4 linked regions of the Drosophila melanogaster genome follow. The protein of the gene in region 4 interacts with the protein of the main gene of each other region in a pairwise test. Each region holds a gene or a part of one and is shown on either strand. Other genes may lie near its edges. The genes, in order: CG6923, yin, sug and CG7236.

Region 1 (7,686 bases), on a different chromosome or scaffold from region 4:
ATAGAACTGATTTAAAATAAAATATGTAAACCCCAAACAGAAATAAAGGTGTATCGTATTTTTATCGGTGGAATAAAAATCAACAGACGTTTATTGGATTATTTATTGATTTCTGCCGTCTTAGACAGCCAATTTTTAAAAGTTTTAGGAAACTTTCTATAATATAAAACCAACCTTTTTAAAATATGTTAGCTCAAGATTTAAAAAATTGCATCGAATCAATTCACTTATATATGGCACGTTATGAGATATTGAGCAATAATCCGTAATCTATTAAATTAAATAGATGTACTATATATAATTTGGTAATAGCAAAGACACTAGAATAGAATAGAATTATTCTAGGGTCTTTGGTAATAGAATAAAAGATTATTCTCTACATTTTTGTGACTAATCAAAACATAACAAAATTTGTTAAATAATGAGAGGAAATCGTCCAGATTTTAAGTCCTTCAAATAATTACTCAAGAAAAATGCAAATTGCCAAATCGATTTCTAATCGGTTAAGTTTAGGGTCCGATGTTATATTATTTTGTGTGATCATTAAAAATATAACAACAAGCTGGGGTCAAAGTTATCATATACGCCCGTCGTGGGAATTCTATACTATAACAATATACGCATATTTATGAAATTCTTATCACAAGAATTTTGTTTCACAAAACGTAGACAATTTGTACATATGTATAGGAAATTATTTGCCGAATCACTTAATATACTTAGACATAGAAATTGAGCCAAACAAATTTAGCTTTTTGATATCTTTCAGCGCAACACGGCAGCAAGCTGTGGCAACTGCCTTTTACATACGTTGCGGTGGGTTAAACATTTTAAGGTATGTATATAGGGGTTTTTACGAATATTTCATTCTTTGTTCTTGTATCGATGCATGCCGAGAACAAACTCAGTCTGAGGGATTTACATAAAGATGCCGTGCACACAATGTCATAATGCGGCGGAATTGGCGGCATCTGGGACTCCGCTGGAGCTGGGGGGAAGAGCGTCGTTGGGCATGTGTGTTTCGATGTCGACGCGACAAATGGGGCAGTGCTTGTTGGTGACTAGCCACTGATCCACGCAATCCGTGTGAAATAGATGCATGCACGGCAGGCGGCTGCAATTGTTATTTAATATAATTAGAGAACTTTATAAGGTAACGTCCACATTGAACTTACCGAACTTCGTTCTCTATCTCAAAGAGGTTTAAGCAAATGGCGCACTTCTCGGCATCCTCATCGGTCTCACTGGGTCTTCGGACGCGTCGATATTTGTGAGGCAAGGTATTCCGCTCAATAGTTTCCTGAAATAAACGTAAAAACTAATTAATATAAATAGGTATGACTTTGATTTCTATACGGCCTTACCAAAGTAGCTCCCCGGTTTGGACGTGATGGTGCGATAAGGATACGGGAGCCCAGAGATAGGGGGGCCAGCCCAATCTCCAGATGCAGTGGTGAGTAGTGGTGATGGAACATGTGGTGGTGTATGGCCCGCTGGCGCTGCATATGCTGCATTACTGGTGGCGATTGCTGAGCCTGCGGCTGCTGTTGGGGCTGAAGCTGCAGATGTCGCATACTCGCTTGTGCTGCCACGCTACTATTGCCAGAACCGGATGTAGCAGGCGACTGTTGTTGAGGAGATGGTGGAGGAGCAGCAGCTGCCGGTGCAGCGTCGTACGGCGGATAGTAAGCGGGATCCAGGCTTGATACGGGACCGTTCCGAGCATGAACACAACTGCAGATGCTATGCAGGTACCCGTTTCGCAGCGTGCTCGTTAATAGCGGAGCATTCGAAGAAAGATCGATAGGTGTGGGCGTCATGTGGCGACGGTGCATCTCCTGCATGCTTTGCTGGCGGTACCACAGATTTTGATGGACCGGATACGGTGGAGCCGGCGTCAGCGAGGTGGCCACTATGGCGCTGGCCCGGTGAGGGGGATGAATGTGGGCGTGCATCTGGTTCTGCGGTGCCTGGTGACCTTGATGCGGCTGCGGCTGATAGTGCTGTCTATTGCTATACGCAGCTTCGGAGCGTCGAACACTGAACGGCGGAGATCCGCAGTGCGGAATGGTGCTCCGTCCGGAATACATTTCAAGCGGCGGTGGTGGAGAAACAGCTGCCGCCAGGTTTGCATTTGATGCCACTCCTGGCGCTGGCGGATTAATGGATTGCCGCTGCTGGTGTTGCGCATGCACCATTGTATGTGGAGGTGTCCGGTTGCCTTCCAGGGCCGCAGCACGTCCCTCATTATGGGCCTGTGATAGCAAATCACTAAAAGTTTGTGCCTGTACCGCCGCCGCTGTGGCTGCCACTGCAGCCGCATTCAAAGCTCCACTCAAAGAACTGCGACTGCTTCCGCCTTGACTGGGCTGAAAATGAGGATGAGGGTGAGGGTGAGGCTGGAGACTCGGCGGGTAGTCCGACTCCACCACAGTTGGCAGCGTTGTTATCGCATAATAGTACGGATGGTAACGATGATACACGTTCGCCGGGCTACTTCGCCTGTGGCGGGATTGCTGCGTTGATGTCTGCTCGCTGGACGAGCTGCTTGGAGTGGATGTAAGATTTCTTTGCTGATGACGTAAGTATGCCTCAGTGGAAGAGTTGTCAGGCAGCAAAATTGGGGGCATCGGGGGCGGAGGTGGCGGGGGAGCGGGATGGCCTGGCATCCACATCGAGGATTCGTTTATCGGAAGGAAGTAGCGCTGTGGATCCATGTTGGAGCAGCGGGGCGGGTAAAAATTACCGGGGCCGGGATCCATCAGCTGGTCTAGCTCGTAGCTGTAATTGTGGTCCGAAATGGCAGCCCGATCAGCTAGAGCGCCACTATAAAATGCGAATGCAGAGGTGCCCTCATTATTCGCTTCTGTACGACGATCTGTCCTGCGAGCATAGGGGAATGTGTAAGCACAGTCATACATGGTCCTCCTATCCTCATTTGGATCCTCCGGGTTGGGTTGAGTGTCATTACGATATGGTTCCCGATCCCTTGCTCGCTCCCGTTCTCTTTCACGGCCCCTATCCCTATCCCTCTGCAGTTGCGTATCATTGGCCAAGCCATCGTCGTCGGATGTCAAATCGATTGAGAGTATGGGCTCACGAGTGGAGTGCACAAATACTACGTCATCATCATCATCGTCCGATGACCAATCATCCAGCTGCAAGTCTGGTGCCGTCAAGACTACGGAATCGGCGCGGGTCTCATGGCTGCCACGTCTTCCCGTGGATGTGGACGGAAGATTGAGATCCGCGGCGGGCTGACTATCTCTTGGCCGGCCGACGTACGTAATCACACAGGGCCCGTTCGAATTCGGCGTCGAGGATGGTGGAAACCGCACATGATGTTGCCCAGAACTGTTCCCTTGCTCCGCAAAGGTTCGGTGTCCTCTCCTTCCAGGATAGAACGAATTAAAATTCGTTGAGGACAGTTTGGAACGCGATCTTCCGGGCAGTTCCATGCGCGCATGTTTCCTAGGCGGCACTGAGTCGTCAGAGGGCCGCGCACGACTCCATGACATTCTAGACTCGCCGGGAACACCGTACATACTGTGCATGGGTTGGCCTGGTGACTGCTGATGACGCCGTTCTTCGTGAATAATCTCCTCCTGTTGTTGGCGCTGTTGCTGCTCCTGTTCTTGATCCGAGCTTGTGGACGGTGATCCTGTTGCAGCCGACCTTCGACCAATGCGAGATCCATAATCCACGCTACGTGTAGTATGGGTGGCCGTGGAGCAGGAGGCTGACCTAATGTAGGTACTATCCGGTGGAGCTCCCGCCACAGCGCACCGACTATTATAGTAGTTGTGATCCGTATGACCTATCTCGGCCTCGTCGGACCCCCTGCTACCACGGATAATCGTTACTGTGGGCTCAATTGGTGGAACGGGATTATGCACACGCAAATCCCAGCCATCATCGCTGCTCTCGTTTTCCGGCTCCAAAACCCTTGATTTGCGATAAGAAAATTGACTCATCTGTCGCTTTCTCGATTGGGCACTCGTGCTTGGCGTGGCATCCGTATCTACTGCTCTGGAAGAGGTGTTGGAGGCATTATTGGAGCGGCTGGCCTTCTTCTTGTGAGCCTGAACGGCAGACGTAGTCGTCGTGGTGTTGGTGGTACGCGTATGAGCAAACTGGCCGTGCTCCGTGTCCGAGGCACTCGATGTCACATCATCGTAAGCATTTACGGCACTTGGGGCGGTTTCGAAGGAGCTGTTGCTGAGCTGCAGCGAACTAGAGGGGACCTCGTAAACGACCGCCGTAGAGTCCATAGCATGCTCTTCTATAGCACCGGCAGGCCATGTGCCGCTGACGGACGCAACCACCGCGTCGCCGTCATTGTCACTCTCTGGCTCCATTGTCAGGGGTTCAGTCTTCTTTCGCTTGGGTCGTGGAATGGAATGAACAGCGGGCGGATTGGCGATCGCCGCTGTGGAGGATGAGGGCTGCTCCAAGAACTGAGCCTCCGAATGCGACTGGTTCTGTGTGGAGTCCGCATAGCGACTGCTACTGGCCACCATCGATTCGCAGCGGCAGAGTCCGTCCAGCGAACTGCACTTGTCACACCGCCTGGCCAAGCCCTCAAATCCAGAACTCTCTTCGCGACGTGGCTCCACCATGGCGGTGTACGTGGGCGGCGAACGGGTGTGGCTGTGGCTCTGCGAACTGGACAGGAAGGGCGTCATTAGCATGTAGCCCTCCGAATCCCTCTGCTGATTATAGTACATCGCATACTGGGAATCTGCAAAAGCACAAGAGGATTAGCACTATCTGGTTCCAGATGATGGCCAGCTTACGGTTTTCCTGTCCACCCGAACTGGTGGCCACACTGCCGTACGCCAAGGTGACCCTCGGCTGGTGGTGCAGCTCCTCCTGGTCGTTCTCCAAGCTATCCATTTCAGTCGTCTAGTGGGCAACGTTACCAGAACGGCAAAGGTGCGTTGCAGCGCATGCAGGCCAAAATGCGCTAAAATTGTGTATATGTACGAAAAAATGTTTAATTTACGGGTATGAGGAGGTACAACTGTCTAACAGAGACCAGTTTGCTTTTTTTGTCCGGAAACAGAAACAAAAACAAGCAGTGGGTTAAGTATTTGGGTTCCAAAGCTATTGCCAGCTATGTACTCTAGGTACTCCAAATGGAAATTCGGGGCTATTATTTGCACAGTTCTCGAGCGAGTAAAAACGATTTAAAGCTCAAAATAAAGTTTGAAGACGGAAATTTTTTCTTTGCTTGTCAAATACACACTCTTTTGTCAGCACCACTTTTCCGTCAAGTTTTTCATCGCCGTTAGCAGGAAATTCCAAAGCTACGTGGGGAAAACACAAGCGCCGCAGTGAAAAGTGAAAACTTTTTATCGGATTCCATGCACTGGGATGATGGGGGTTTCCACGGAAGCTCTAAATAACTTATGACAACTTATTACTAATTAAGTTCAGCAGTTCTTTATTTTAGCCAACGCAATAGGGATGAGCGTTGTATCGATATGTCAGCATATCGATATGTCTAAGCTGATATTAAGCTGATGCGTTTATTTTGTATTAACTTAAATTAAAATTTACGAATAACATTCAGCTTTAAGTATATTGAATGTTTCGATACTATTGACTTCAATTTGGGGAAAACGCCAAATCAGCTGTTCGGCTGTGGGCAAACTATGAACAGCTGTTCAATGATAACAAATGTCCCCAAAATAATTCTTACCTCTATTATATGTGTAACACAGAAATATTGCGATTTTGGTAATTTTCTTAATTCCTAAAGCCGGGATTACGCGAATAACCGGGTGGGGATTTCCGATTGGGCAAAACAAAGAGAGTGGGTGGTGGGGGTTGGCAGGCCAACAGCTGCTATTGGGGAACACAAGGGAGTTTAAATGCAATTCTTTTCGCGGGGGCGGGGGACTATTCTCATTCGCAGCTGCTGTCCGGAACAAATTTACATTATGCACATGCAAATTTGCGATATATATGTTCTCACGATTTAATCATTTTGTATGTGTTACTGGATTTTATAGCAGTAACAACACCGAACTGAAATATTTAGACAACTTTTTCTTCGACGGTGCAAAAACTTGCAGTTCGGCGATGATGGCGATACTATCGCATAGAAGCTAGCTAGCTCTTTCGTAGACTAAAGTTGCGCAGTATGGCCACACTGATAATTCAAATATTTTGGCACTAAATATACCGTTAGAAACTATACTACCACTACTTACCACTGTTTAGGGAAGCTTAATATATACATACAAAGAAACTCTTAGTTGGAAAGTTGCGAATCATAATTATCTGGTTTTTAATGTTAATCTTAATTAAACTGTATTACATTTTCTAGTTTTGCTATCACAAACATAGTTTCCTTCATTTTCTTTTCATGTAAACATGGGAATAAGCCCACAATGCTGGCCAATCAAGAATAAGACATTCGTGTTTTTGTGCCGGGGCATACACGAAAGAAGGTCAAAGAAAAAGACACTTTCAACGTATTATACTCTTCCCCATTACCACAATCAGGACGAAAACCACAAGTACGCCTTTTTCCATGTGGAAAACGATTCTCGAGTTTTCTTCATTACAATTGGGAGAAGCCGGCTAAACAATCTCGATTGGTTTCTAGTGGATAAATGGGGCAAATTCATTCGAAATGGGACATCAGTCTACGATTACCACACGGGCTTCGAGTGCGTGTACAAAAGGATCCATTTCTTGGAGAGACTGCTTAAAGAATGCTTGGCTAAGCAAAATTCCACGCAAAGGAACAGCACGAATCCCGAGTTGATGGTTCTACACTTCCCGGAAACGAAGGCACCAACCTACCACATGGTATCCATTGGAGACAATACGCGGTGCTTGAACTGGGTTATCTGCCTGCTGGGACTGGTTATACTTCTCTGCTGCCTGAAATAAATCCATATGCACAGCACAAGCCTTAACATATCATGTATTTAGTGTTTTTATTGAGTTTTTATATGTATAAAACAATATCTACTCTTTCTTTTATTGCTGGCTTCGTATTCTTTTCTCTTGGCTTTCGTTTCCAATTCTGTTTAGCCATAATTTTAAAACCAATTCGCTTCATACAAATATTCCTTGATTAAATCGGTCAGCTAATCAATTATCTGCAGGATTTCCCCATATTCTCGTTGGTGTTCATTTCTCGAAAGCTGCGCTGACCAGTGTAACGACTTAAGTTTAACCATTGGCTTAACGGACATTTTCTAAACCAAGGTGCTGTTTGTTTGAGTGTAGTTTTATCGGATTTTAAGCAGCGCTGCTTGTAAATTCAACTCATAGTTATTATTTGTTTTTTTTTTGTTTCGTTGCGAAACACTCCTCACAGTTTTACAAACAAACGAAAGCGATAGTTTCCACTTCAATACTTCAGTTTCAGTGCAACTTTGATTGCTTCTGTAGGAATTCATTGCATGAATAGTATAAATTATTTGGACGCTGTTATTATTATTAGCAAATGTTCAAAACTTTAACCAAACCCAAAACGAGGCCGTTGGCAACTTTTTTTGGCAGCAGCGTTTTGAGCTAAAATTATGAACAATCATTTATGATTTCATATGTCTGCATTTAACTTTATTTTTTGTGGTCAGTTTAATTTTTCGTTTATTTTGTTTTTGTTTTTTGGAAGTTTTTCGCACAAGTTGCTGTTGGTTGGAAAAATAGAAGAATTGGTGT
Region 2 (4,935 bases), on a different chromosome or scaffold from region 4:
CCTTCTAATTTGTGCGAGCAGTGTTTCCTGTTGTTTCAGAAGGCTTGTGGAATGTGCATCCCTATCGTGCACCCACAGTATTCCAGCTTGTAGCCATTGTTGTGGCAACTGTTTGTCGTTTGGCGTTCTTAAAGAGAGAATATAGTTCTAGAAACCCATATCCTATTTGCGATTTAACGTTATCTTGTGTTATCTGCGCTGAATCTTGTGGTTATCCCCTCGCTTTTCTTTAAGCTGTGCCAATGAGCTGGCAGGTACGGAATCGATCTTATCTCGATCATATTCCTATCCCCTATCTGGCGATTAAACCCCCGGCCGTGCAAAATGGTCGAGTGCCAAGTGCCTGTTATCTATGTTTGTTTTCTTTACGGCTTTGAGTAATTTGTTGGACTTTCCCAGGCAGCCATAAATCTATCCAGCTGTAAATATTTATGGTCCGCATTAGCTATTGTTTCGCGTCGAGATTGCTTAGGTTTTTCACGAAAACGCCGCGCTATACCACAAGATTGCACAGTTCCGGAAATATATAGATACATGTGCCTGAAAGGTTGTCAATTTCGCACTATATTTTAGTCCAGCACTCAGACTCACCGTTTCGAAACCGTTGCGGTCATCTTCGGCGAAGTGGATGTGCTGGAATCGATCATCCCTATCACGAAAGCGGGCAAAGTGCCAAGCTGCAGAAAGTCCATATATATGTGGGTGGTCTTTGGAAAACTGGTGATGCACTTACCGCGACTGAATTCAGAGCTGCTCATCAGGTGACTGGATTCGAAGCTCGAGCTGGATATGGATGTGGCTGTGCTAGAGAATTCGGGATTCCGCTGTCTATGAAGCATGCTTGAGCTGTAGCCTGGATATCTGACAGCTAAGGCAACGGACAATTACCCTAAGTATAACAAATTATTTATTTAGATTATAAATAATTATGGGGGATCTTTATAGTATTATAATATAATATTTAATATAATTGTAATTTTGAAATTGACATGACGTCTTTATATCTTTCATGTACAAATCTAATCAGTTGGGCAAACACTTCATCGCCTATCATCATTGATATCGGACTCCGGACCTTCGAGATCTTGAGATCTATAAGTACCCATATCTGAAGATCGGAGCCCCTTGAAGCACTGCCCTAAGAAACGAGTACGATTGGCTATCTGACTATCTGGCTATCTTAGGCAAGGACATCGTCTATATCTCGCTTTCGCTTCGCCTTTTCAGGCCGATTACTTAATCGGCACAAAGTGCGATTCGGTAAGCCGCGTGCCGAGTTGTGCGATTGGCCCACCTATTAGGTAGGTTGGTAGGTGCGATTTAATCGAAGATACCCTATCGCCGCTTGACCACCAGTTTGCTAATTGATAAGGTCTTAACTGTAATCCCCAGGCTGAGCGAAGAGTTTCTCGCCCAGATACAACGCCATCACAATCCATGGATACGGGATGCATAATAGCTGGCCGGGGATACGAGTACTCGATGTCTGAGTGTGTCAACACGCAACCCGCTCAATCGACACACAGACCCCCAATGCCTTGATGGCTTTAATTAAGTGTTACTCAATCGATCGCATAGCTGGCATTATGAAGACTAGACACCATGCAATCTGTAGCCAAGTAAGTGACAATCGTAAAATCGAAAGCAAGAAGCAAAACAAAAAGTTCACTTGTCGCACAGTCAGGGCCTCTCGTTGAGCAATAATGGTTAACAATAACAATAACAATAACAATGTCGTGCTACGGACTATCGCAGATCGGCCGATTGGCTATGGCCAATAGATGTATTATACTTGTTTCTGGGCATGGCATTAATGATAGGCGGCCATAAATACTATTCGCAGCTATCGACGCAGCGATTAAGTTCATAAAACAAAAATGCCACAAAGTTTTGTGACCACCTCCGATTAGATGCCTATCAAAAGCGGTGAGCCAAACGGGGTTAGATGGTATAGGTTACATTATGGATTTCCTATTTAAGGCGTCGCAGTAAAGTATCCTCAAATTTTCTCATTTCTTCATAAGGGGTTACATAATGAAGATCAGCGAAAATCTACAAATTTCGAAAGTTTCCGGCCTTGAATGCCTATGGATTAGAAATTTCATTACGAGTTCAACGAGATATTGTATTTCAAATAAGGCCAACTATTTCCCATGTTGTTTTTAAAGTACTGTTCTTAAGGTGGCGGAAATCTGAATTATAACTTTTGACAAAAATTCGACATTTAAAAGTGATCTTTTCGCTATAATTTGGTAGTTCGTGCCCAGTTTAGGGTGTTTTCTTTTTAATATTAAAAATAATTGTTGTATTTATTAACCTATCCACCGTTTGAATGACTTATACTTATGACTAATCTGATATGAAGTACGTACGTCTTTTGAAATGCCTGTTTATTTCGCAAAAACTTATTACCGATGTGATAACTTTATCGGCCATAAAACTACTTAATAGATTTGTAATAGTTTATTTTCCTATTACTATCATTTTAAGGAGCTTAAATTAATTTATTGTATTGCTGCCAAAATACTGCCAATCATTTCGGTCTTAAGTTATGTACATACGTATGAACTTTGTTTGCCCACGGAAAAGCGTTGAAAAAGAAAGTCATGTAGCTTGTTAATATGCAAGTCATTAGTATTAAACACTGGACGCGTTGCTCTAAAAATTGTTTGGGTACTTTCTTAAAAATTAAATGGCTGATTAGTTACTTTTCGACCAATATCAGCAAGACATTTGGCTATTTAATAATGATTAATTGCCCGATTAACACACAGTTCAAGCCATTGAAGATTCTGACTCGATCTCCTTACCCTACAAATTTCCTTGGCCATCATTATCTCTTCTATTTTGGCGTTGATTTTTTTTTATCAGCGTATAGACGTAGTAGCTCTTTAAATAATTATCTTTAGACCATATACTAAACTACTTTTCGATTCATGACTTACGGTGGGTAAAGTTGGGAAGCTCCCATCCCTCAGACGTGCAAGTAATGGCCAGAGATAACCGTTTGGTGCGATGAAAATATTTAGTTAATGATGGTGCGCAATCTGCATCGCCCACTATACACAACACAGCAACCACCCACCCACTGACTGATGACAGACGGGGCGTGGCAGGTGTGATAAGCGGAGCAATTGTGATGGACAGCGATCTGTAAATTGACAGGCGGCCAAGGGCGGGGAAGGGTGAAATGTCAAGCAGATATTCCGGTGGGTAGTTGTGGGCCATAAATAACAATCGCGAGAGCTGCGAGCTGCGGCTCCATTCATTGTGGGTAAGCGAACACCGGGCCGTAAATACTTCCACTTGCCTGTCGATACGATAACATTGCGATTAGGCTTATCACCACTACTCGCTCGTTCTAACGCCTTTCGCCATCCTTCGACGTCGAGCAAGCGCGCAGTCGCAGCGGGCAGAGCAGTGCGGCAAAGCGACAAAGCGGCGAGCGGCGAAACCGTCAACGGCTTCTTAGCTAAGTTCGTTCACAGTCGACTTCAGTCTGAGGCTGTTGATCGCCGCTTGCGGACGTGGTCGCTCAATCCTGCTCGATTCATAACCGATTCAAAACCGATCCCATCCGAAACGACGTGCGTTCCAATTTTTTTTTTTTTGCAGTTGTTAAATGTTTTAATGTGAGTTACGAGTGCGCGAATGCAATGGAACAATAAAAGCAATAACGATCCGAAAGCTTCGCCAGAGACAATAAAAGCAATATCAAAACACTGATGTCTATATTATGAAAAGATCTTACGAAACAATAAAATCCTTTTAAAGGCCAATGCAGCAAAATAGGATAAAGTTACCAGAGAAAGAGCTTCCTTTTTTTATACAGTTTGAAAATCAATTTGCAACACAGAAAATCAATTAAAACTATTAATAATCTGAATGAGATATATTTGCGATATTGTTGGTTTAATTAATTATTTCGCAGTGGCAATTGGAAATTTCCCTTAAATATAGCCAATTTGTGGGCTTATTGAACTCCAGACGAGGATCAGTACTTTTTTGCTTTTATTGTCTCTTTTGTCTCTTATTGGAAAAAAATAAACAAAATTTACACGTAATATACATATATGTGCATATATTTTTCGTTAAATTAAAAGAAAGTTGAGTTTATGCATCTTATACATATGCACATTCCTACAACGTAATGATTTTTAAAGTAAATTTAATATTTTTCTTCGATTTCAAGTGACGCGTAACGGATGTGAAGCGATCTCCGGGTTCCCAACATGACGGATAAAAAAAATGGTATTGTTAATTACTAAAAATAACCACAGATGCATAATTATAGTTTTTACAGAGGGGTGGCGATTATACAGACTACTGAACCGAGATTTATGGCCCATATTTTTGTGAGGCTCGAGTTTTACTCATTGTTTCGATTTCTAGACATGCTATATAAGCCACACAAAATACACCTCACCATAGATTGCAATAGTGTTCTTATTTAGTTTATTGCACCTATTTACTTCGATACTCCTCACCCTTCAGTTTTAATCAGTGGCCGTTGGGTAACGTGCAAGTTATAAGAATTGGCGGAATACATCTCCACTTGCCAGTTATGACTCAACGGACGAACGATTTTCAGAACTCCAGGTTCGCAACTACGATAATCGGTTCTCTTGGCCGCGTGTGCAGTTTGCAAATCTAATCGCTCTGATAAGGGACTTTGAGTGACTGGCCCCGGGTTTTAGCCACTTGAGCGGCTCCAACACAAGCAACGAGCAGGTCCAAATGTGGATTTACTTTCGACGGTCCCCAAAAAAGAGCTGCCAAACTTGGTCAATTGGCACGGACCAACCTTGCCTATATACTTGCCTATTCAAATCTCAAAAAATAAATAACTCGACTTGCCTACACCGATGCAAATTTTCCAATTTGTACAACTGTGTGCGCCTGCATTTCAATGTCAGACGCCGGCTTCATTTGCAT
Region 3 (3,829 bases), on a different chromosome or scaffold from region 4:
CAGCGCCTCCGCCGCGCTGATAACGACGATAGCTTTATGGCTGGCTGATAGCTGATTGCCATAGCCACCACCCAGCAGAGCGCAACTCCGCGTCCCGCCGAACCATTCGCGTCATGGCGCACCAAGTTTTCGGGCCAAAAGATATGGTACCATGGCGGCATGTGGCGGCGTTTGTTGACTTGGCGTGAGATAACCAACCACCACCACCTTATCGCCGTCCCAGACGCAGCGCCCACACACTGAGGTGAAACCGGCGGGCGAACCCAAGAATGAATTTCTGGGTTTTGGGATCGTACGCTTGCATATCAAACACATGTGGGGGAAGTTTAGTATTTCTGATAAAGTGATAAAATTATAAATGAGAATGTGTGTGGGGTTTCACAAAGCTCAAGCTAGAAAATATCACTTTTGTTTTCAGTGTACTCAAATCAAATTTAATAAAATTAGCGTGATTTCCTTATGCAACACATCAGTTGGGGTTTTATATCCATTATAAAGTTCGGAATTCAAGGAAGCTTCTAAGCTTTAACTTTATAAACAGCTATTAAGCTTAAAGTCTAATTTTAACTTTGTAATAATAAAACATATTGAGAAATTGAGAAATATATTACAGAATTGAAATTAAGTGGCTTCCACGAAAGTTTTTATCCATTTCCCTTCAGAGTATAGGAATCACATAACGATTCAAATTGTCTGCTTAAACTTTTGATTCTTTGTCTCAAAACTATAACTATTTACTTTTTAGTCACAAGCTCGAATATATAGTTAGGTCAGGAAAACAATTAATTGTTTTATTAATAAATCTATTTATGGAAATTATGCAAGGCGATCTTATAGTGGCCTCTTTGTAGATTCTAGAACTAGCCATTCTCAGGCAAAAGATCTAGATGCGTCTTCAGACGTATTAGTCCATTCGCTTTTCTCTGAGTGCACTAGTACGGCTCCAAGAGTTGACGTACCTGTTCCAATGAAGGGGTGCGATTCGGATCGGGAGTGGGACTCGGATCGGTACGCAGGGTGGGGTGCGGCAGGGAATTCGCTACGCGGTACGAAGTGCAAGTCAGGCAGGCAGGCAGGCAGACGGCACCGGGCGATAAGACTTGCCCCCCAAAGAGCGATCATCGGGCACACACATGTGCCTGTGTACATATGTGGACTGGCTGGCTGGCTGACTAGCTGGCTCTCCACTTGTGCGTTGATAAGCGGGCCCAGACCGTACCCTGGTCGCCCCCCAGTCACCCATCTGCGTCGCAGTCCATCCAGCACAGAGTTTCACTCACGTAGTGTGTGCTTTTGCCCCAGATCCATTTGCCCCAGCGGATTTTTTTCCACCGCTCCACCGCTACGCACCTGCTCCTCGGCGCTCCACTGTTTTGGTTCCGTCTGCCGCCGTCTGCTCCCCCTGCCCCTGCCACGCCCCCGCCGGACCCGTCTGCAGCCTTCGAAACTGATAAGCATACCCTGTCCGTCTGGGCGACCCCTTATCGCCGTCCAAGTTTCGCATATTACCCGAACCTCTGCAGGCGAGCGGCTCATTCGATCGGCAGGCGCTTTAGCGAAAGCAACAAATTTTCTCGATCAGCACCCACCACAGACAACAAACATGGATATAATACAAAAGTCAATCTTCAACAGCGGCCCACACAGCAGAGGCATCTACGAGCCGCCTCTCGGCTACTTTACGCCGTATAACACACCACCGTACATAGCCGCCTACTCGGATTCCGGCAGCTGGTTGGCGGATCACCACCAACACCACCAGCAGCAGCACCAGCAGCACCAGCAGCAGATGCAGCACATCAGGTTTCCCACGCCGCCCATCACACCGCCGCGTCCCATCGCCGGATACGGATATCGTCAGCGCACCCAGTCCGTGATCATGAAGGCTCGTGGCCAGCAGGACGAGCTCTGCCGCAGTCCAGTGGAGTTCCCCGACGACAGCAAGTCCTGCAGCAGCAGCAGCGAGTGCGGCACCGCCAGCGATTTCGTATGCAACTGGACAGATTGCGATAGGTAAGTGTCAACTGCATTACAGAATTATTGTGAAAATTTCAAAGAAATTTCCTAAAGGGGTCTCAGCACTTTCGTAATGTTTTTTAAAAACGAAAAAAAAACTCAGCATTATATTTTCTTTTGAATTTTGAGTTGCCAGAGAAAGACATTGAGTAGTTCTAGAAAAATATAAAACACAGTTCCCCCGCGTTTTACCATTGAAACTGATTACGCATTCGAAAGAAATAAAAAAAAAACCCCGGAGGCAGCCTGGCATTTGCTGAACTGTTGGACTCGACTTTTTGATAAACCCTCCAATAGCGATAATAATGTGATTTTGGGTCAAATTGATAGAGATGCAGTGTATTGTTTATGGTCAGCAAGTGTATTAATATTGGATAAGAAATCAATCCAGTACATGTTATTTTCGTACTAACCACTTATATCCCTTTGATCCTTGCAGAGTTTTCGACACCTTGGATGCACTGGCACAGCACGTGACCCAGCGACATGCGATCGCCAGCCTGACAGACGGACTCTACTATTGCCGCTGGCGGGGATGTCAGCGCAGCGAGCGAGGATTCAATGCCCGCTACAAGATGCTTGTCCATACCCGCACCCACACGAAGGAGAAGCCACATCGCTGTCACCTGTGCGAGAAGTCCTTCTCGCGGGCGGAGAACCTGAAGATCCACATTAGGTCACACTCGGGCGAGAAACCCTACAAGTGCAGCTTCGAGGGCTGCCAGAAGGCGTACTCGAACTCCTCGGATCGTTTCAAGCACACGCGCACCCATTCGATGGAGAAGCCGTACATGTGCAAAGTGGCCGGCTGCCAGAAGCGCTACACGGATCCGTCCTCGCTGCGAAAGCACGTCAAGACCTTCAAGCACAGCATCCACCTGATCGCCAGCCAGCCGCTCACTCTGCCCAGCGTACCCTGTCTCCTGGAGGCCAGCAGCGAATCAGCGTTCACGTGTCTTCCCGCTGCCAGCAGTGTGGAGTCCACCAGCTCCTCCTCATCCGCCCGCTACTACGATGACTCCAACAATGAGCCCAGCGATTACTCGCTAAAACCCAAACAGGATGCGGAATTCTCGCCCAGCTATTGGCTAGGCGATAGACAGCATAGCTATCTCCACAGCGAGGACTTCTTCGTTAAGATGGACGTGGAGTCACCGCTCGACCTGCGCATCCATCGAATCTGAACTGGCCAATCGGTTCGCCTCTCGTCTCTCTTCCCCTTCTAGTCATTGCGCTGTTTCCCAGCTCTTGTCACCACACCTAGATTACTATTTAACGTGATTAAAGACTGTTGTAATTGAACTGCTCTAGTTTGGCATGGTGGCATGGGAGTATCTTCGGGATTGATCTGATCTAGGTTCCTTCATAGTGGTTCTGGGCAAAAAGAGTATTTCAAAGATTTCGAAAAACCATAAGCTCAAGGTATGGGAAAATCCCCAGTTACAGGCGATTCGTCACAAAACTAGTGACCAATCTTAATCGACTTCGATTAGAATTTATGATCCAGACAACCTTTGTTTGGAGGAAAATCCCCATTTCGAATGGCTGGGCTAATAGAGCGCTAGATATTGGAAAATATTTATTGTTTAAATGCGCATCTAGACGAGTTTTTCACACAACTGTTAATAACAGATTTAATGTTTTTTTTTGCGGTTTATAGGAATGTTAGTTGATCTAGATAACCTCTCGTTTTTATACAAACAACAAGAACAAACAAAATAAATAGCAAAAGTATTTCACATTTGAAATAGATGAATACACTTTAAAAGCGATATCAGGTTTTACACTATATATAGGCATATATATATACTGG
Region 4 (7,816 bases):
CCAACAAGCCCACCCCCTGGAAACTCCATTCCATTGTCTTCGGCGTTTTCAATGCCGGCGCACATAAAAATTCCGGCTACGTTTACGGCGTGGACTACGCTTATAAACAAAGTTTGTTAATATTTCTTCGCCAACGGACGCGAAACTCGCCTCGCATCTCGCGCGTGAAAATCCATTTAGTTAAATGCTCGCAGGATGCGGAAATCACTTTCGAGATTCCAGAAATAGTACGGCATTTTAAAATCAATTTTCCAAACAGTTATTAAATGCTTGTCTATGGACAAATGGTTCGGAGAGAAACGTCTCTGGCTGTTTGGTAACCACCTTCCACTTTTGCCCAGAAGGTAAGTCGAACTTGGCATTGCATTGCATTGAATGGTAACAAAAAGTGCTATCCAAACATTTTTTCATTGTTTTGGCCTAAACTTGAACTTCAAGATTGGCGCGCAGATAGAGTGTTGCCCCTGATATTGTTTTGCTTAACGTCGGGCCTTGTGAATAACCAACCCTACAGTAAATAGTAATCATCGTATGAAAACATTGTGTGTCTCTAACTAACATTTAGATACCTTCTTTGAACGCCTTTGAAACTGACAGTTAAAAGCTACTCAACTTACACAAGATCTAACCAAGAAGCCACAGGACCAAAAAGGACAAAAACTCCAATCAAATTGAATTTCAATCAATGCGAGTATATGTGCACGGAAAAAAAGATGCAGAAGAACAAAAGCGAAAAGAGATGAAATCAAGTACAGAGACATCAAATTGCATTGAAATGCGTTCGGAGCTTGGATTTGTCTCCAACATCAACCCACTTACCATCCGAATTCTGACAGGCCAGACAAGCAGCTCTGAAGGAATATTGCATACTTATGGGAACGGATGATGTAGCGGTTTTTAATGCTTTTGATCCAAGCAGACGAAAACCCTATTTTCGGCAAATGTCAACGACACTTGCGTTTTGCTCGAAAGGAACAGAGGGAAATGTTTTTTTGCTGGAATACATATCTGACTGAAATAGAATAAGATATTGCCCATCAGACTGTAAGCAAATGATTGATACATAACACTTGTACTCGCACACTTGTTCATGAGAAGGTTTTTACAAGTCACATACTTTTCTTTGGTAATTATTGATAAGTTGTTTCAGGAGATGGATAGTTATATAATACAAGACAAGTTCATGATCATGACCCAGGACCCAAGGAGCGCAATTCATGCTGTTCTGGTAGCAATAACAATTTGATGTGTTTCATACATTTCCTAAGTTTATTTATGTGAAATTAGTAAGGGTTTTTTAAACTTTAATCAAGTTTATTCACATTGAATTGCCATGATCCCAAGATCTAAACGTTCATTGTGCTCAAAAAATGTTATAATGGGACTGCTTTGCTTATATCAGCACTTTTGGTGAATGGACTTTTCAACAGCCGCGAATTAGAATCGCGTTTTCGGTTTGCCAGCAGGATACTTACATTTGTTTGGCGCTTTCATGGCATTTGACAGTCGCTCTCATTCCCACAGTGGATGCCAAAACTCACAGGTGCCCGCCTCACCTTACATAATTGAATCCCCGCAAGCCGTTTTTTTCCCTCCAGCTTGCACCACTGATTTCGTGTGCCTCGCTGTGGCATGTGGCAAACTCTGCCTCATTCGCCTGCCGTCGCAACTCTCACTTCTCGCATTATGCGCCTGACTCATTTGCATGTTCCTTTGGCTTCCCCCGGCCGCATTTTTTCTGACCCAAAAAAATCTTAAACAATATGGAAAAGCATTGCCGGCACGAGACACGTCAGAAACAGAGCCGGTTTTTTGCACCTGTTTGAGAAGGAATGTCGCTCCATGCATAAAGTATTCATGATGTCCGTTGCATTTGAAATCATGTATCGATAAAATAAATAGACGAGAGACCGTCGAAGTGCAACTTAGTTATCCTGAGACCCTGCAGCCGTACGAACGCCTGGCGACGTGCAATGTTTCACAGCTCATCGTTCTACTTGCCGCAATCGTTACAGAACTCCTTCCTCTACCGCCTCATTCAGAAGATCCAGGTGTGCAATGAGCCGGACTTAGTTGAGACCAGGCAGTACAGGTGGGTCGATTAGCGCCGTTCGTGGCCCTAATTAGCTTTACCAACTTTTTGCGGAATGAAAGTGAAATGCAGTGCTAAAACGGGCAGAAAGGATAAACTTTTCCCAATGACATTTGAGTCGCTGCTGGTGGAGGTGGTGTTGCAACGGCCTTGGCCTTTCATTTCACACGCATATGCCTGCTTCGTCCTCCAAGCGCTTCAGCTCTGCTATCCCCGTAAGTAGGCAACGCTTTTTGCACAGACCTCGCACAAAGTTTGGGACACTCGGTGCGTGTGTGAGCATTTGGCATTAATGGCTTGTTATTTATTGCATTTTACGCTTGTTTTCCCAAAGGCCACGTCAACACAACCCTTACCAACAACCCGCAATATTTATATGGCCAAAAGGTTCAGGGACTTTACAAGGCGATGTTAGAGGTTTTGCTAAAAAACTTTACTTACTTGACATATTATTGCTATTTTAGCAAGTACAGACACTTGAAATAAACCCACAAGGCAGTACGAATATTAAACATCTAAAAATGTGTGGTTTCTCTAAAAATAAAGACCATTCAGTCTGACTTCAGTAAGCTAAACTCGTATAAGTAAATTTCAATTTTAAGTATCTATTTTAAAGGCCAGCTAAATGTTCCTTTTTCTTAAATAGAAGTGCTTTAATTCTCCTCTCATTCTTATATAATACCCATTACTAAATAAACTTTAGCGCTGCTATATCACACAAATACCGGGGGTCAGTATCAGAATGGTAAATAAACGAAGAGCCATTAAGCTGGGAAGCATTGACCCCAACATTGAGTGCAAACATCATGACAACGACATGAACAAATAATTGCTATGCGCAAACAACTACATAGAACAATAAATACAAAAATATAATTAAAAGCCACAAGAGCCTAGAATAAAGGTAAAATCAAAGTGGGAAAGGTTAAAGTGCTTTCGCGGAAAACAAAAGCTGTCAAATGTATAAGGCAAGCAGATGGTGTTTAAGTTGGAACGGGGTCGACGGGAGTTCTCAGTAATTATGCAAATCAGAAATCAGTGGGGTGCTGTCACTATACTTTCATACACTTCTTAAAGGTAAATTTCAAGGAAATTAGTTACCTAATACACCACACCGGTCAAAGAATTCGTTTTATATACATATACCTTACATATTGCTTATACAGTATGCGTGATTATGGTTCCTAATTTATGTTCGACGCTCACCTTCGTGTTTTTCCACTGCACTTAAATGCATTATTAATGAAACACGCAAGACCAAAACAAACAAAAACATAGGAATCAAAGTCGCCATTGGCCAACGCGGCGTATGTGCGATGTCCGCTGATGCAACCGAGCTGCTACCAACTCCGTCGCTCTCCAAACTCGTTTCTAGCCAAAAGCACCTCAGTCGATTGCCGGCTCTTAACGTCTTCACATCGTGTAGTTCTGCCAAAAAGTTATAGGGCTCTTTGTTTGGCCCAAGTGAAGGAAACACGGAAACAAACCAAATATAGACAAAAGGTGAACTGGAAAAAATTCGATACTGCAATGAAAATGTTTGAGATTTCTAAATTGTTTTCCCTACGAAGGTATGAGCAAAAAAAAAAAAATAAACAAAATTAAAAAAAAAAATTAACATTTATTATTAACATCATAACTTATCTTATTTGCCTGTGAACTGTGAAAGTTTTAAAGTTTGGACAGCTTCGAAAAGCAAACACAATAAGTGACCCCTGGCAAGCAAATTAGCTGCACAGCAATACTTAAGTTATTCAGCCAGGAAAAGCCATCCCTAATACTGTTATAATTGCACAGCGATTCAAACATTAATTAGTAATAAGGACCCCAAATAGAATCCACCCCCGAAGCGCCCACGTAGCGCGTAGTTACGACAAACTTATTGCACTGCTGCACCAGTTTAGCTATATGGAATCCTCCAGCAATCTGTGTCAAAGAACCCGGTTCATAAGCGACTCCCCTGCCTTCTCCTTAGACAGACGACTCCAGCAGGTAACCTCAAAATGTGTAGTGGGAAAGGAGCTGGGAAAGCTGGGAAAGAAGCACACCTTGAATGTCTTCCGGTAGTCGCTAGAAAAAACAACAAAGGGGAGAAACTTCTTGAACAACTTTGGGGGCAACTGCGCATGGATTTGGTTTTGTTGTGGTTTTTTGCTTTGTTAACTTTGGTCGCATTGCTATGACATTGGCCAGTGGGGTGGAGTCGACCTGGTCGACATGGGGCACAGGTCGGCTCTAGCGTTTCCCCCATTCGGTGCTCAGTTGTCAGACAAAACATACGTCCGCTCAAGCGGTCTACCCATTCAAATATTTATTGATCGACAGGCTTGGCGGAATATTCGGCGCATGGTGTGTATCGTAGACTTCCCCCAAAAGACTTTAATCAAATACATATATATATATATATATATGTCCTATTCATTCACAATTCAATTACTAACTCTAGTGGCAAATACGTCAGATATTAGCCAGATGGGTGCCTAGGTAAGTCATCTGCTTGCTACGTTTTCGGTGTCCTGTGTTGCTTTCATTTATTTGTGCCACCAACCAGCACCACCATCATAAGCACACAAATATTTAATTGCATGCCATGTTTATGACCCACACACATGTTAGCAAAAGATGCAGAAAGGCCCAAGCAGGGTTCAGTTACCCCGTTTAAGGTTTTGTGGCTGGCATTGAACTGTCAACCCGTGAAGTCCTCGACCAGACCGGTAATGCCAATTTCAAAGGAGCACGCTCTCGAACACCTGGGGCTACAAAATCGATTTAGTTTTCGTGTTCACGCTAGAAAGTTAATTACCCTCGGTTTCTAATCTAATACTAATGGTACAATTCTGAATGAACAGAATAAGTTATTTTAATCTTATTTTCACTTAAACTGTGTAAAAATGTTAGAATTCATTAGTCCATACACTCAAATCAATGACAATTCCACATAGGGTTATGTTTACTTGGGTCAAAAAAATCGATTTAGTTCTCGTGCTTATAAATGGCAGAGTAGTAATGATTAGGTTGTGTATCTAATGGCAATTGAATGTTTACAATATCGATTTATTTGATTAGCTATAATAGCTGCATTTAGATTGGAAAAAGTTAGCAGGAAGAAGTTTATATTGATGTACTTCGGCACATTTTAATTTATTATTATTACATTTTATTTAACAGTTCCTTTGGCCCACCAAAATTAACGTTTAAACCAAATAACTCATTCTAAAAGTTCTCTCATTTGTTGTTTGTTTCATTCCATCGAAATCGACTAACCAAATCATACCGAATTCGTGAAACCAAACCTCCAAAATGTTCTGGACATCCCCAAAAAAAAACCAAACCTATTCAATATAATAACTTGTACATATATGCATACACATCAAATCGTAAGACAGCCCTTGAAATAATACCAGATCGAATATCAAATCACTTCATACTCGCTCGCATATCCTAGAATGCAAGTTCGCCCCTGTGAGTCCACATGTGTTCGTGTCTGAGGTATCAAACAGAAAAATTCTTGAACATTTTGTGTGCCCAATGCAAAGCAATGCGACGTGCAAACATCAAACGTGGTCAATGTTTGAGCTTAAGGTAAAATCCACTCCAAACTCAAACTGAACGTTAGCCGCAATCGGGGTGGGAATTCCGGAATAACTCATACCTGTTAACTTCCTTGCAGACCACAAGGTAGCAGCAAAATGGATCGCTATGAGAAGCTCAGTCGGCTGGGCGAGGGCTCCTACGGTGTGGTCTACAAGTGCCGGGATCGGGAAACGGGTGCTCTGGTGGCGGTCAAGAGGTTTGTGGAGTCCGAGGATGATCCAGCGATTCGTAAAATTGCACTGCGAGAAATTAGGCTACTGAAGGTAAGCCTTAATAACTTAAATCACTTGAATCACTTAATCACTCGAAATTTCCTGCAGAACCTGAAGCATCCGAACCTTGTCTCCCTGCTAGAAGTGTTCCGACGGAAGCGACGCCTCCATCTGGTCTTCGAGTTCTGCGAGCTGACCGTGCTGCACGAACTGGAGCGGCATCCACAGGGCTGCCCGGAGCACCTGACCAAACAGATCTGCTACCAGACCCTGCTGGGCGTGGCCTACTGCCACAAGCAGGGCTGCCTACACCGCGACATCAAGCCGGAGAACATTCTGCTGACGGCCCAGGGTCAGGTGAAGCTGTGTGACTTCGGCTTCGCCCGGATGCTCAGTCCGGGCGAGAATTACACGGACTACGTGGCCACCAGATGGTACCGGGCGCCGGAGCTGCTGGTGGGCGACACTCAGTACGGCACTCCGGTGGACGTCTGGGCCATCGGTTGCCTCTTCGCCGAGCTGGTCCGGGGCGAGGCCCTCTGGCCAGGACGTAGCGATGTGGATCAGCTCTATCTGATCCGCAAGACGCTCGGCGACCTGCTGCCGCGCCACATCCAGATCTTTGGACAGAACGAGTACTTTAAGGGCATCACGCTGCCAGTGCCGCCGACGCTGGAGCCGCTGGAGGACAAGATGCCGGCCAAGTCGCAGCAGAATCCCCTGACCATTGACTTTCTCAAGAAGTGCCTGGACAAGGATCCGACCAAGCGCTGGTCCTGCGAGAAGCTCACAAAGCACTCCTACTTCGATGACTACATCGCTAAGCAGCGCGAACTGGAGCACGTCAACAGCCTGGAGGCGGCCAATCTCCGCCAGCAGCAGCTCGCCTCCCAGCAGTTCATGCTGGCCACGGCGGCCCAGCAGCTCCAGACGGGTCCTGCTCAGGCGGCGGCCATCGCGGCGGCCCGGGATAAATCAAAGGTGCGTACGGCAGTCCTCTCAGAGGATAATTCAATCTATTAGTATATCCTTTCGATTACAGACTTCAAACACATCACTACCGCTGCTGCCTAGCACGCAGCATCATCATCACCCGCATCAAGATTACGTGAAGCTGCAGCCCCTGAACAAGAATGCAAACCTGCTACATCGCACCGAGCATCATCTGCCCACAATTTGAGTTTGAGCAGAGAATTTGTAACGAAGTAATGTCCTTGAGCGAGAATTGAGCCCGAAATTTAACTTATTTACTGCTGGGAATAAATGTGTAAAAGTAATCCATTAATATATCACTGGGTGGAACGTTCGTAAACACTTGGCAACTCATCCCTTCGGGCCGAACTGAATTAGTAACTAAGTCTAAAGTGCAATTTTCAGCTGTCATCAAATAAAATGTGCTACATAATGTTTTATTCCATAAATTTTCAATTCCGTTAGTCCATGAGATTCGCAAATCACTCCAGGTTAATCTTTAATTCACTTTCCAGTTGCGTCCTGGCTCGAATCCTTTTCAGCCTTGCACACACACGTACATCGAATTAAAAATCCTTGCAGCATGTCGACTAGTCAAACGGTTACATTCCACCTCCAACTCTCACCTACTTGTTGAGCCTGGTCTGGATTACACATTTTTACATCTATTTAACCAGGAGCGGATTGGGAACAGCGGAGCCCTTTTAATAGAACATTTATAATTATATAATGTTATAAGTTCGTTTACTTTATATTTGATTCAATAAGGTCTGTTTTGCAGTCCTTTGATATATATACATGAACTGCTTGATACCCTCTTTTGAGGCTCCGCTCCTGAAGTATTTCATCGTCGACAGATATCGCCTCCTGGCGTCCATACCACGTTTTTTGGCAGCTTAATCCAGTGCTAAGCACACGGCAGATAATCAGCGACACGTATCGGCTT

The links.
Region 1: the proteins of CG7236 (region 4) and CG6923 interact in a two-hybrid assay, tested with the Drosophila melanogaster proteins (one large-scale study listed by BioGRID).
Region 2: the proteins of CG7236 (region 4) and yin interact in a two-hybrid assay, tested with the Drosophila melanogaster proteins (one large-scale study listed by BioGRID).
Region 3: the proteins of CG7236 (region 4) and sug interact in a two-hybrid assay, tested with the Drosophila melanogaster proteins (one large-scale study listed by BioGRID).

Annotation. Positions count from the first base shown.
Region 1 is NT_033777.3:11,743,994-11,751,679, forward strand, and holds CG6923 (uncharacterized protein), read right to left. Parts: upstream 6,037-7,686; 5' UTR 5,705-6,036; intron 5,496-5,704; exon of another isoform or gene 5,249-5,495; intron 5,033-5,248; exon of another isoform or gene 4,967-5,032; 5' UTR 4,897-4,966; coding exon 4,797-4,896; intron 4,742-4,796; coding exon 1,365-4,741; intron 1,301-1,364; coding exon 1,176-1,300; intron 1,115-1,175; coding exon 946-1,114; coding exon of another isoform or gene 919-945; 3' UTR 490-918; downstream 1-489. Other genes in the region: CG43062 (uncharacterized protein), read left to right, coding at 6,382-6,906.
Region 2 is NC_004354.4:3,868,926-3,873,860, forward strand, and holds the start of yin (yin), read right to left. Parts: upstream 3,015-4,935; 5' UTR 2,946-3,014; intron 1,620-2,945; exon of another isoform or gene 1,393-1,619; intron 1,302-1,392; exon of another isoform or gene 1,028-1,301; intron 894-1,027; exon of another isoform or gene 890-893; 5' UTR 840-889; coding exon 734-839; exon of another isoform or gene 678-733; coding exon 592-677; exon of another isoform or gene 574-591; intron 255-573; exon of another isoform or gene 48-254; intron 1-47. UniProt on the Drosophila melanogaster protein: Important role in absorption of dietary peptides. High-affinity transporter of alanylalanine. Dipeptide transport activity is proton dependent.
Region 3 is NT_033778.4:12,927,329-12,931,157, forward strand, and holds sug (sugarbabe), read left to right. Parts: upstream 1-1,531; 5' UTR 1,532-1,603; coding exon 1,604-2,013; intron 2,014-2,455; coding exon 2,456-3,200; 3' UTR 3,201-3,316; downstream 3,317-3,829. UniProt on the Drosophila melanogaster protein: Transcription factor which represses a set of lipase genes involved in fat catabolism.
Region 4 is NT_033779.5:5,706,476-5,714,291, forward strand, and holds CG7236 (uncharacterized protein), read left to right. Parts: upstream 1-1,915; 5' UTR 1,916-1,973; coding exon 1,974-2,092; intron 2,093-3,474; exon of another isoform or gene 3,475-3,622; coding exon of another isoform or gene 3,623-3,663; intron 3,664-5,427; exon of another isoform or gene 5,428-5,564; coding exon of another isoform or gene 5,565-5,674; intron 5,675-5,762; coding exon 5,763-5,949; intron 5,950-6,006; coding exon 6,007-6,879; intron 6,880-6,940; coding exon 6,941-7,078; 3' UTR 7,079-7,316; downstream 7,317-7,816.